Linked DNA regions of Caenorhabditis elegans. The protein of the gene in region 2 purifies or fractionates together with the protein of the main gene of each other region. This does not show direct contact. Each region holds a gene or a part of one and is shown on either strand. Other genes may lie near its edges.

The links. Proteins that work in one complex are often made in the same cells at the same time.
Region 1: the proteins of epg-5 (region 2) and rep-1 fractionate together in Caenorhabditis elegans (co-fractionation; one large-scale study listed by BioGRID). This does not show direct contact.

Annotation. Positions count from the first base shown.
Region 1 is NC_003281.10:1,568,681-1,576,313, forward strand, and holds the start of rep-1 (Rab proteins geranylgeranyltransferase component A 1), read left to right. Parts: upstream 1-1,625; 5' UTR 1,626-1,643; coding exon 1,644-1,759; intron 1,760-2,743; coding exon 2,744-2,813; intron 2,814-2,863; coding exon 2,864-3,094; intron 3,095-3,872; coding exon 3,873-4,024; intron 4,025-4,119; coding exon 4,120-4,327; intron 4,328-5,066; coding exon 5,067-5,245; intron 5,246-5,546; coding exon 5,547-5,706; intron 5,707-6,267; coding exon 6,268-6,364; intron 6,365-6,413; coding exon 6,414-6,491; intron 6,492-6,652; exon of another isoform or gene 6,653-6,725; intron 6,726-6,749; exon of another isoform or gene 6,750-6,822; intron 6,823-7,094; exon of another isoform or gene 7,095-7,170; intron 7,171-7,191; exon of another isoform or gene 7,192-7,264; intron 7,265-7,400; coding exon 7,401-7,528; intron 7,529-7,633. Other genes in the region: Y67D2.2 (Ubiquitin carboxyl-terminal hydrolase), read left to right, coding at 1,076-1,171. UniProt on the Caenorhabditis elegans protein: Substrate-binding subunit of the Rab geranylgeranyltransferase (GGTase) complex. Binds unprenylated Rab proteins and presents the substrate peptide to the catalytic component B and remains bound to it after the geranylgeranyl transfer reaction.
Region 2 is NC_003280.10:6,606,316-6,611,174, reverse strand, and holds the start of epg-5 (Ectopic P granules protein 5), read left to right. Parts: upstream 1-1,809; 5' UTR 1,810-1,818; coding exon 1,819-1,932; intron 1,933-1,982; coding exon 1,983-2,044; intron 2,045-2,093; coding exon 2,094-2,193; intron 2,194-2,239; coding exon 2,240-2,497; intron 2,498-2,543; coding exon 2,544-3,147; intron 3,148-3,197; coding exon 3,198-3,331; intron 3,332-3,382; coding exon 3,383-3,770; intron 3,771-3,825; coding exon 3,826-3,884; intron 3,885-3,933; coding exon 3,934-4,010; intron 4,011-4,056; coding exon 4,057-4,349; intron 4,350-4,396; coding exon 4,397-4,521; intron 4,522-4,564; coding exon 4,565-4,859.

The sequences.
Region 1 (7,633 bases), on a different chromosome or scaffold from region 2:
TTTTGACGACCAACCAAAAAAATTTTTTTTTGGGCGGATTTTTTTCCAAACTTCTGTTGTTTTCTAATAATCTAAACAAAGCAAAATCCGCACACAAAGCTCAATTGAAAACTGAAAAGAAGCGAGATCAGAAAAATGCCTGAAAAAATTGGCTCCGCGTTAGGACACTTGGGGTGGTCAAAAACTTTCGTGACTATTGTCAAGTGAAAGATCATGGTTGATAACGTAAATTCCCAAAGTTTCATAAAAATCGATACGCAGCGAACAAAGTTATGATTTTTGACCCGGAACTTATTTGGAGACCTAATATATATATACCAGCCGTTCGAACGCGCTGAAGCGCGTGCTCCGACTGGCGTACTCAAAATTGAAATCAAATTCTAAAATTTCTAAGCCTTTCTCTGTAGATGGAACGTTTTTTTTCTGTTTTCCGGAAGTTTTCGAGCAACATAAATATTATATAGCTGAGTGTTTACAACTAAAAAAAAACGTTTTTCAAATCATATAAAACTTTTTTCCGGTCCTTTCCGAGAGTTTTTGGCGAGCGTTTCTGGAAATTATAACAATTTTGATCTTTTTTTTTCAAATTATTGAAACTTCAGAATATTCTAGGAGTATCAAAACTTGAAGAAGTTTTTTTTTTTGAACTTTCCGAAAGGTTCTAGAAATTTGCAGGTTCCTGAAATTTTCCACGAAATTGAACACTTCAGAATTTTCCCGATTTCTCTAGAAAGTTTTGGAACATTCCAGAATTTTCTCGAATTTATTTTTCTCAGAAAATTTGAATTTCCAGTCAACGAAGAGCCTTTGTCACAAAAACGACATATTATTAAAATTCACAGAATTTCCTAAATATTCCCTTCCTAAACATTTTCTCGTGACCCATGTGCTTCTACTCGTATTGGTGGCATAAAAACTGTATTTATTCACAGTTTCAGTCTTAAATTGGCCGAAAATGTGAATAAATACCGTATTTCTGCCAACAATTTGACAATAGAGCACATTTGTCACTCGGAGATGCGGAAGCTATGCCCAAATTTTCATTTTTCCCCCGAAAACTTGTATAATTTTTCAGGTAACCCGTGTACCGTACTCCCACGTGGCAGCCTGTCAAAGTTATATGCTATTCTACGAACGTGTCAAACCTCATCGACTCTACGAAAGGATGTAATTTCTGGATTTTTATTGATTTTTTTGAGAAAATTTTTTTTTTGGAAATTTCGCAATTTTTTTCCCAAACAATTGATTTATTTTGTTGCTAGATTCCCCTTATTTTTTGTTGTAAATTTTAACATTTTAATGACACAACGTGTAGCATTTCCTTTAAAGTTTATTTTTTGTGCAAAAATTCAGAAAATTTGAAAAAAATATTATAACTCTTCCCCCCGTCCCGTGCCATTTTTGTTAAGTTTTGTGTGTGTGTGTGAAAATGAAGATTTTTCGTGTTTTTTCCACTTTTTTTAGTTAATTTTTAAAGGTTTTCAGCCGTAAATCAAATATTTTAATAGAAAAAAAAATTTTTTTTGGAAAATTTTCAAAAAAATTTTTTTTTTTTTTGGTTTTTTTCAATTTTTCAAATTTAAGCATGACATCTCTTATTTTCCAAAAATTCAAACTATTTCCAGCTTTTCCAGCTCTAAAAAATGGACGAAAAGTTGCCAGAATCAGTGGACGTAGTGGTGCTGGGCACCGGACTACCTGAAGCCATTCTGGCTTCAGCTTGTGCTCGAGCTGGCTTATCTGTGCTTCATTTAGATAGGTAATAGGCGAACTAACATTTAAAAAAAGTTTAAAAAAATGAATGAATGAAATTGAAAAAAAAAAAATTTTTGCGAAAAAAAAATTATTTTCGGCTAAATTTTTTTTTTAATCATAACTTTTCCTCAAAAATACAGCAAAATTCGAATTCTCCACGTCGCCAGCTTCAATTTGATCCCCAAATTGCCTATATTCCGCTGGTTTTGAAGTTTTCGGGTCCCGCCACGAAAACTCCTCGGGTTACTGTAGTTTTTCGCGGCGGGACCCAAAATAAACGGATTCTGGGCATGATGGGGGTCATTTTGAAGCTGAGAACCTGATGAATTCAAATATCACATTAATTTTCGGGAAAAATCAGAAAGTAAAAATTTTCTGACCAAGTTTGTGGAAAATTTTTCGGAAAACGTCAAAAGTTTCCAATTTTCGAAAAATGTCAGCCAACTGATATCATATTCGAGTTCTCCACGTCACTAGCTTTAAAATAACCCCCCACCATGTCCATATTCCATTGATTTTGATTTTTTTGGGTCCCGTCACGGGTTACTGTAGCACCGATTTCAGCTGTGTCGATTGTCAAAATACACCGAACCTAGGCGTGTTGGGGCTCATTTGAAAGCTAATAACGTTGAGAAATCAGATTAATTGTTCGTTTTCGGAAATATCGAAAATTAAACAAATTTTAAGAAAAAAAAATATATATTTGCCAAAACATTTTTCAATTTTCAGAAATTTAAAAAATCAGAATTCTTTCTGAAATCTTCACGTTACCAGCTTTCAAATGACCCCCATCATGCCCATATTCCGCCTACTTTGAGAATTTTGGGTCCCGCCACGCGGGTTACTGTAGCACCGATTTCAGCTGTGTCGGTTGTCAAAATGCACGGAACCTAGGCGTGTTGGGGGTCATTTGAAAGCTGATAACGTCTGGAATTCGAATTTCATACTCGATTTCTTGAAAAATTCGAAATAAAAAATATTTTTGCAGAAATGAGTACTACGGCGGTGATTGGTCATCATTCACAATGTCGATGGTTCATGAAGTGACTGAAAATCAGGTTTTTATTGATTTTCAGCCAGAAAAACCCCAAAATTTCCGAATTTTCAGGTAAAAAAGCTGGATTCCTCGGAGATTTCCAAGTTATCAGAGCTTTTGACTGAAAATGAGCAGCTCATTGAGCTCGGCAATCGAGAAATCGTGGAAAACATTGAAATGACGTGGATTCCACGTGGAAAAGACGAGGAAAAGCCGATGAAAACGCAACTGGAAGAGGCTTCACAAATGCGGCGATTTTCCATCGATTTAGTGCCGAAAATTCTACTTTCCAAGGGAGCAATGGTACAAAATTGCAAAATTACACCTAAATTGGAGAACTTGATGTTTTGCCCTAATAGTCATCAAAAAATCAATTTTTGCCAAAAAAAAAATTTTTTTTGAAACTTTTTTTCTGAAAAAAAAGAAAAATTTTTCTAAAAATTCAATTTCCTCATTTAAAACTCTGAAATTCGAATTCTCTACGCCACCAGCTGTCTAATGACACCCAACATGCCCAGGTTCCGACCGCTTTGAAAATTTTGGGTCTCGCCACGCGGGTTACTGTAGCATCGATTTCAGCTGTGTCGAGACTGCCAAAATTCAAAATCAACGGACCACGGACATGTTGGGGGTCATTTGAAAGCTGATAAAGTGGAGAATTCGAATTATTTGCTAGTTTTCTGAAATATCGAAAATTTAAAAAAATTGAAAAATATTTTCCAAAAAATTGTCAATTTTCAGAATATTCAAAAATTAACATTTTTTCCGAGATCTTCACATCACCAGCTTCAAAATGACCCCCATCATGCCCTGGTTCCATGCAATTTGATTTTTTTGGGTCTCGCCACGCGGGTTACTGTAGCACCGGCTTCAGCTGTGTCAAAACTTCCAAAAGTCAAAATCAACGGAGCCGGGGCATGTTGGGGGTCATTCGAAAGCTGAGAGCGTCGAAAAATTCGAATTTCCGCATTATTTTCAGATATTGAAAAGTTTGACAAAAATTTATGGGAAAATTTTGAAAATCTTGAAAAAAATTTGGAAAAAAAAAACGATTTTCTTCCAATTTTTTGAATTTTTTCAGGTTCAAACACTCTGTGACTCCCAAGTATCCCATTATGCCGAGTTTAAGCTTGTCAACCGGCAGCTATGCCCAACAGAGACCCCAGAAGCCGGAATTACCCTAAATCCGGTGCCATGTAGCAAAGGAGAGATTTTTCAGAGCAATGCTTTGTCGTAAGGGATTTTTTTAGGCTGAAAATCGATAAAATATCGATTTTCTTTGCCAAAAAAATCGATTCGCAATGATAAATCTCCAAAAATTCTTCCAGAATCCTGGAAAAGCGAGCTCTTATGAAATTCATCACATTCTGCACACAATGGAGCACAAAAGACACGGAAGAAGGCAGAAAACTGCTCGCCGAGCACGCCGACCGCCCGTTTTCAGAGTTTTTGGAGCAAATGGGCGTTGGAAAGACCCTGCAGAGCTTTATTATTAATACGATCGGCATTTTACAGCAAAGACCCACTGCGATGACGGTGAATATGCGGAAATTACTGTTTTTTAGAAAAAAATCTGAATTTCTAAAAAAATTGAAAATGAAAAAAAAATCCAAAATTTTTTTTTTTGCACGAAATTTACTTCAATTTTTTTCAAAATATTATTGAAAAATTTGAATTCTCGCCACTCTCAGCTTCAAAATGACCCCCAACATGCCCGGGGTCCGTTGATTTTGAGTTTTGGCAGTCTCGACACAGCTGAAACCGGTGCTACAGTACCCCGCGTGGCGAGACCCGAATTTTCAAAATCATCGGAACCCGGGCAGTATGGGGGTCTTTAGAAAGATGATGATGTGGAGGATTCGAGTTTTGAGTCGATTTGAAAAGAAATTTATAATTGAAAAAAATTTGAGCAAAAAATTATTTTTTTTTTCGAAAAAATGTTGATTTTGTCTATTTTGCTAAAAATTTTTGAAAAATTCAAATCTCTAACGCTTTCAGCTTTACAATGACCCCCATCATGCCCATTTTCCGTGCAGTTTGCGCTCCGACACAGCTGAAACCGGTGCTACAGTACCCCTCGTGGCGGGACCCAAAATTTTCAAAATCGATGGATCATGGGCATGATGGGTGTCATTTGGAAGCTGGTGATGTGGAGAATTCGAATTTCGAGTTGATTTTCATGTCAAATTTGAAATTGAAAAAAATTTTGAGAAAAACAAATTTTCAAAAAAAAAAAAAAATTTTTTTCAAAATTTAAAATTTTTCCAAATTCCAGGGAATGTTGGCATCATGCCAGTTCATGGATTCTGTCGGCCATTTCGGTCCATCGCCATTCCTCTTCCCACTCTACGGATGTGGAGAGCTCTCACAGTGCTTTTGCCGGCTGGCAGCAGTCTTTGGGAGCTTATATTGTCTGGGACGGCCTGTACAGGCTATCGTGAAAAAAGATGGAAAGTTAGTGAAGAGAATAAGCGAAAAATCAATAGTTTCTGCGAAATTTGACCTAATTTTCAAGTCAAATTCCCAGCAAAACTAGTTTTATACAATATTCCGTGACTCATGTGTTTCTACCCAGATTGATGGCATAAAAACTGTTTTTATTCACATTTTCAGCCTTAAATTGTGCTGAAAATGTGAATAAATACCGTATTTCTGCCAACAATTTGACAATAGAGCACATTTGTCACTCGGAGATGCGGAAGCTATGCCCAAATTTTCAATTTGTCGGAAAACCAATTTTCTCAAAAATTTCCAGAATTACGGCTGTAATTGCCAATGGAGATCGTGTAAATTGTCGCTACATCGTGATGTCCCCGAGATTTGTCCCCGAAACTGTTCCAGCTAGTAGTACGCTGAAAATCGAGAGAATCGTCTATGCGACGGATAAATCGATTAAAGAAGCCGAGAAAGAACAGGTTCCGGAGCATTTTTTGGAGTTTTCCACCAGGAAATTCGATTTTCCCGCAAAATTCCACTCTAGAATTCAATTTCCCCGGGCTTCTAGCTCAATGTTACAATTTTTGGGGTTACTGTAGCGCCAAAAGTACGTTGACCTCGGTGCTTGCGTACCTGAGACCGAATTTTACGAAATTGAGCTTAAATTGGCTGAAAATCATGTTCCGGGGTGAATTGGCAACGGGAAATTCGAATTTCGCATTGAAAACCACCTTGGTCAACTGGTTTTCGAGAAAAATTTAATTTTACTCGAGAAACCAGTGCTCCTAGTTGATTTTCAATGCAAAATTCGAATTCCCCGTTGCCAATTTACCCCGTAACTGAAATTTAAGCCAATTTGGGTTCAATTTCGTAAAATTCGGTGTCAGGTACGCAAACACCACGGGGGCATCGCGTACTTTTGGCGCTACAGTAACCCCGAAAATTTCAAAATTGAGCTAGAAGCCTGGGAAAAAATAATTCTAGAGTGAAATTTTGCGGGGATTTCGAATTTCGTATTAAAAATCCGAAAAAATTTTCAGCTAACCCTCCTCAATCTGGCATCTCTCCGGCCCGACGCCGCAGTCTCACGGCTTGTTGAAGTGGGCTTTGAAGCCTGTACGGCTCCGAAAGGACACTGTAAGCCCCCACGTTTTTTCCTAGAAAAATAAAGATTTTTTTTTTGCAGTTCTGGTGCATGCAACGGGTACCCAAGAAGGAGAAACAAGTGTCAAGACTATTGCAGAGAAGATTTTTGAAAAAAATGGTGATTTTCGCGGAATTTTTAGGGGGAAATTTTGAATTTCCACTACCGAAAACCTATTTTTCGCTTAAAATTTGAGAAACTTTCATGGAAAAGTCATTTCCAAGTGAATTTTCCCTAATTTTAGGTGAAAAATTCGAATTCTCCGCTATAAAAAACCTATATATCCCCACGGGGAATCGAACCCTGGACCTTTTGCTCCAAAGGCGAGCCGCTTAGCCACTGCGCCACGCGTTGCAGCTAACCAGTGATGCATGTTGCACCCCGTGGCGCAGTGGCTAACAGGCTTGACTTCGGAGCAAATGGTCCCGGGGTTCGAGTCCCCGCAGTGGTGTATAGGTTTTTCATAGCGAACATTTCGAATTTTTAACTTAAAATTCGCAAAAATTGAGTTACAACCTAGTTTCCTGAAATTTTCGCTCGAAAATGATACAAAATCCATTTTTTTGAACTATTAATATATGTTAAGCTTCAAAGTTCTAAAATAGAGACTCCAAGAGTTGAAATCTCAGCAAGGATTCAGTGAAATTTTGAGAAAAATTATTTCCAAGTGAATTTTCCCCAATTTTAAGTGAAAAATTCGAATTCTCCGCTATAAAAAACCTATACACCCCCACGGAGAATCGAACCCCGGACCTTTTGCTCCAAAGGCGAGCCGCTTAGCCACTGCGCCACGCGTTGCATCACGCGCCGCTGGTTCGGCGCACCGGTGGCGCAGTGGCTAACAGGCTTGACTTCGGAGCAAAAGGTCCGGGGTTCGAGTCCCCGTGGGAGTATTTAGGTTTTTCAGGGCGGAGATTTCGAATTTTTCACTTAAAATTCGCGAAAATTGGCTTGGAACCCGGTTTTTCTTTAATATTTTTGAGTTTTTCGATTTTTCCTAGAAAAATCGATATTTTTTCTGCATTTCAGAAGTGGAACCCTACTGGAAGATGAGCTTCACCGCGAATTCCATGAAATTCGACACCGCCGGAGCCGAAAATGTCGTCGTCGCGCCGCCAGTTGATGCGAATTTACACTATGCTAGTGTGGTGGAGGAGGTTAGGGCGAAAGAACGATGAAAATTGGATTTTTGAGCTGAAATTGAATTAGAAATTCAAATTAGAAAAAAAAATTTCGAAAAAATATAAAAATTAAAAAAAAAA
Region 2 (4,859 bases):
GGTTTTTGATGAACAAATAAAAATTTATGAATTCCTTCGGATGGGGTCTTTGATGAACATAAATTAAAAGGGAGAAGCATGCTGAAATGAAAGTTACCATTTTTACAAAATTGCTTCAAAATTAGAACTGGATGTATTATTTAAACAAGCTTCCGGTGTTTGAAGAATTATTCATATTATTTAAATTTTAAATTAACTAGTTCAGGTTTTTTAATCCTTTTATATAATTGTCAGAAACTGTCAGGTTGCCCCACGTTCCAAATTTGACTCAAGGAAGGTAAAAAGACACTTGAATCTGGTACTAGAGTCGTTTTTGTGCCTATGTGAAAGACTATTCTTGGAGCTCTTCTTTCAAACATTTCGTGCATTTCTGCCAGAATTGTTCTGAATTCTGAAATCATTATGTACAAACATCTTTATCAAAATATTATCTTCATGTGATACGAAGCATGTCAAACTTATCTCCTGTAAAACGTTATCCAACTGTAGTCCAAACCATTTACCTACAATACAGTAACCAATTTCTTCAGACTAAACGCTTTCTAATGGTTTGCTCATTGATCGTCTCTCATTTGAATTGATATCCTGTTCAATTCAGATTCAAAATCTCATTAATCTCATGTCCGGATGATGTGGCAGATAAGCGAGGAAATGTTTCAATTGCGCAAGGACAAATCAACGATAAACTCATGTGTGAGTGTGCGAATTGAACGAAGAAATTGGTTTGGCAATCGTAGAAATTCACACTAACTGTCTATTAATTACCTGTCAAAAGTGTCTGGTTTCTCTCACGTTTTGTGTACTTTCTCGTAGATAAACCGTTTAGAGATTTGAAACATTCATTCACACTCCTAAAACTAACCAATGGACATTAAAAAATAAAGTTGCGATTTGGGAAAAAGGGATTTGCTTTTGGAAACTACAAAAATATTGCTCCGTGACATGATCCAAAAATATATAAATTGGAATGCTCCACGTAGTTTTTAAATATTAATGATAAACCTTATTTTTAATTTCAGCATTAATTTCAGAGATTGGCAAAAGGTGAGAGGCATTATTAAAAATAGCCTTCAAATGTTATTAGGTTTTCACAAAAGTAAACCATGTTGTTTCTAGATTTCGAAATTCATAAGATCTCGTTTGTTTCAAATCTACTATTCACGAAAACATAACGTATGTTGCAGACCATTCCCAGAAGGAAAAAACTATGAAAAAGAAAATATGTTTTTCTTTCGATTGTTTCCGAAATAAAATCCATTTTCAATCTAAGTTCCTGTTATAAATCATGTAGACATTGACGTTGAAATAGCAAAATGCTTGCACATCGTTTTCTTATCATTTCTCTTCTCGAAGCATTCTAACTATAAATTTATTTGTTTTTCAGTGTCAATGTCGTTATATTAAAAAAAAAATCATGGGACATTTTGTAAAAACTTTTTCAAAATAATAAATGTTCTCATCGAATCTATACTATAGTTATCAACTGTTCTCAATCGGTAGAGTGCTCGGGCTCCCGATCGATTTCACAAAAATGGTTTGGTCCGCAAACACGACGACGGACATTGCGTATTTGTCGTCATTTTCCCTCTTCACGTGCTGTGTTCAGTTCAATTCGGGTTTTTATTTGCCGTCAGACCACTTTTTTTCGTGACTCATACTAAAAAATGCAGAAATAGAGCAATTTATCCTGCTATACAGATTTTTTATATTTTCTAGTTGAAATCCTCGACTATTGAATTAATTTGTTGACTTCGTACTGTACTTGTCGCATTTCTTTTTATAAGAAAAATTAATAAAATATATTAATTTAGTTTCAAAATGGCGGAATTGGTTCGTCCAAAAAAGCCAAAACATCGAGAGCGAGCACAAAGTGATTATACACCCCCAATACCAGATCGTCCTGCAATTGTGAATGGTTTGAGACTCCCTGCGGTAATAACAATACCACTAAACTTTTTGTTTCATATTGATTTTATTTTCAGGCTCCATCACATACTATTGAGGATTTACCAGAAAGATCAGCATCACCGGAACCTGAAGATCAGTAAGTGGTAAAATAACGATTGAACTGAAAAATATGTATACGTTTCCAGGGATATAAGCTTGACCGAAGATTCCTTGAAACGCGAAGAAGCATCTGAACCTTTAAAAGATGTGAGAAGTAGTCCAGTTCGACCAGCCCCTCCACCACCAGTCAGTTGAAATTCTAAAACTCAAAATATGAATCATTTGTTTTCAGCGTGTTTCTCAAGAAAGAGAAGCTCCACCAATTCCTCCAAGAAGTATGATCTTTCCACGAAGTACCAGCATGGTTGCTGAATCTAGAAAAGAATCAACTACAGCGGTAGCACCAAAACGGAGTGTAGCAGTTGCTTCATATCCAGCTGTCCCCGAACTAGCCGAACTTCCATCCTATACTGATGCGCTTCAACATCCGCAAGTGTATCCTTCAATAAATGGAGGACTTCAGCATTCACACTCAGCTACTGCCATTCCAGTAAGTATTTAATCTGAAACCTTATTATTTTTCTTTATTTTTGTAGGAAAAAACACGATTTTCTGCACCAGTTGAGAGAGAGCGTGTACGAGAGGGAGAAGCTCCTCCGATGTATCCATCTATCAAAACTTACGAACGGAATGAACATGGTTTAATGACTGAAGAAAACTTGGTCACATTCTACCATAATCCCCTTTATGAGCACGCCGAAATGTTTGTTGATCAGTTTATTAAAACTGAGGAAGTACCAACTCAATCTGGATCTTTATTTCCACTCTTAGCTAGACTAAGAACAGTATGTGACCTAATGACTGTTAGTGAAGTGAAAGGAAAAGAGAATACAGAAGAATTGCAAAAATGTTTACGAGAATGTTGGGTTCAACAATCTCTTTCTGTTGATGCAAAAGGAAAATGTGGAGACAACAATGATGGTACAGGTAGAGCATCGTATTTTTCTTTTGAACTGCAACAGGCAGTACTGGATCAAATGAAGAAACTTCTCTCTACGAATCGAAGCAATCTGATGGATCATTCAGTTTGTGAAGAGACTTCGTTTAGATCAATTGCTCTACAAATTCAATGGCAGGTTATTATTATCAATAATAATTTCATGGCTGAAAACGGGTTGTCTACAAATTGTCCACCCAGTTGTGAGTTTATTATTTCAACAGCTTACTAGTTGAATATGAATGTATTTCAGTAATTGCCAGTGTACCTATGACACCGGGTAGAGTTGCTCTTCGCACTGCTCTTTCAGACATATTCTATCATCTTCGGTATCCAAGACTTTCAAAAAGATTTATAGATACACTTGTTGGATGGATCAAAGAATTGGTAAATCATTTCAAGTTCGTAATGTAACGTTTATGTAAAAAAATGTTTCAGACATGTGTGTTGAATATGCGTCAATCATGCGACGACGGTATATTCCTCCTTTGCCACCTTTTACGTCTTCCATCTCCAATTGATCAATGGGCTTCTCCATTTGTACAAACCTTCATTCAATCACAATCTGCTCCAAAGTTGAAGCTTGATTATTGTGTTGCACTTCTCACTCATCTCCTCAACCCAATCAAAGCTCGAGAATCTTTCCTTCGCCATGTTGCTCAATCTGAAAAAGAGGAGTCAACTTGGGAGATTCTTGCAGATGACGATGACGGTGAAGCAAATGAGTTTTCATTTGTCACAATCAACGAATCAGATCTAACTGCATTCCTTGATCAATTTCCGATTTCTGAGCTTTATTCAATTGCTTATCTTGCTTTCACTTCATGTAAGTTTCAAGTTGCAATTGTAAACTTAGACCGTTCAAATTTTCAAATTTTCAGACTCTGACAAAGGATCTCAATTTACTGCTATGATTGCATTCCAGCTCTTGCTCATGAAAGTAAGTATAGTAATATCTAAATTTATGATAGAAACATTGAATTTTTAAGATTCTTGATAATGGTTTGACAAGTTATTCTCAACCCGGATATAAAATGTTCTGTAAGCAAATTGGAATAAGTCTCAAGTGAGTTTGTTATCCTTTGGCTCCTAGATAATGTGTTTTCTTTCAGGCACAGCGTTCGGGAACTTTGCTCCAATTGGCGACTTATTCGAGATCAAGTTCGACCAGGCGAAGAGCATCATCTTCAGAAAGAAGTAGATCGAGTTGTACTTCTAGCTCTAAATTACTTGATTCATCAAGACACCCTTGGATTGTTCCAATTTGTGGTGTCGTTACCATATGCTGTGGTTTCCGAAGAATGTAGAAGCCGATGTGAATATGCTTTAAGATCGAATAAGAAAATGTCTATTCACGAGATTTATGATACACCAATTTGTGAAGTACGCGCCAGGATTAGTAGTCGTCAGTTTCTTTAGAGTAAACCAAAATAATAAACATATTAATTTCAGAAGGAATTTCAAAACGAATAGGTGCGCTTGGAGCTCAGGATTCAGAATTTCTTGTCAACTCATTGGCCTCAATTGGATCTTATTCAAATTCGGATGTTTCGCAACTTTTGAAAGAGCTTATTGATGTGAGATTGAACATTTTTAACTAAAAACTTTACATTTTTGCAGGTTTGCTTTTGTGATGAAGACACTCGAGATGATTTGTATAAATGTGGTGGTGAAGCAATTGGACAAATTCTTATAAAAAGACCTGAAACATTGCATCAATTGCTCACTATTATTGATCGAAATCTTCAGCATATGGATTCCTATGCAATCAATGTTTTATCATCATCACGACTTTTCGAATGTCGATTAACGGAACCAATGATAAGCATCATAGGAAAATGGCTCATTAATAATCCTCCAGAACACGGAGCAAATCGTCTTGCTCGGCGAGTTCTTTCTGGATTGCATTGGGGAT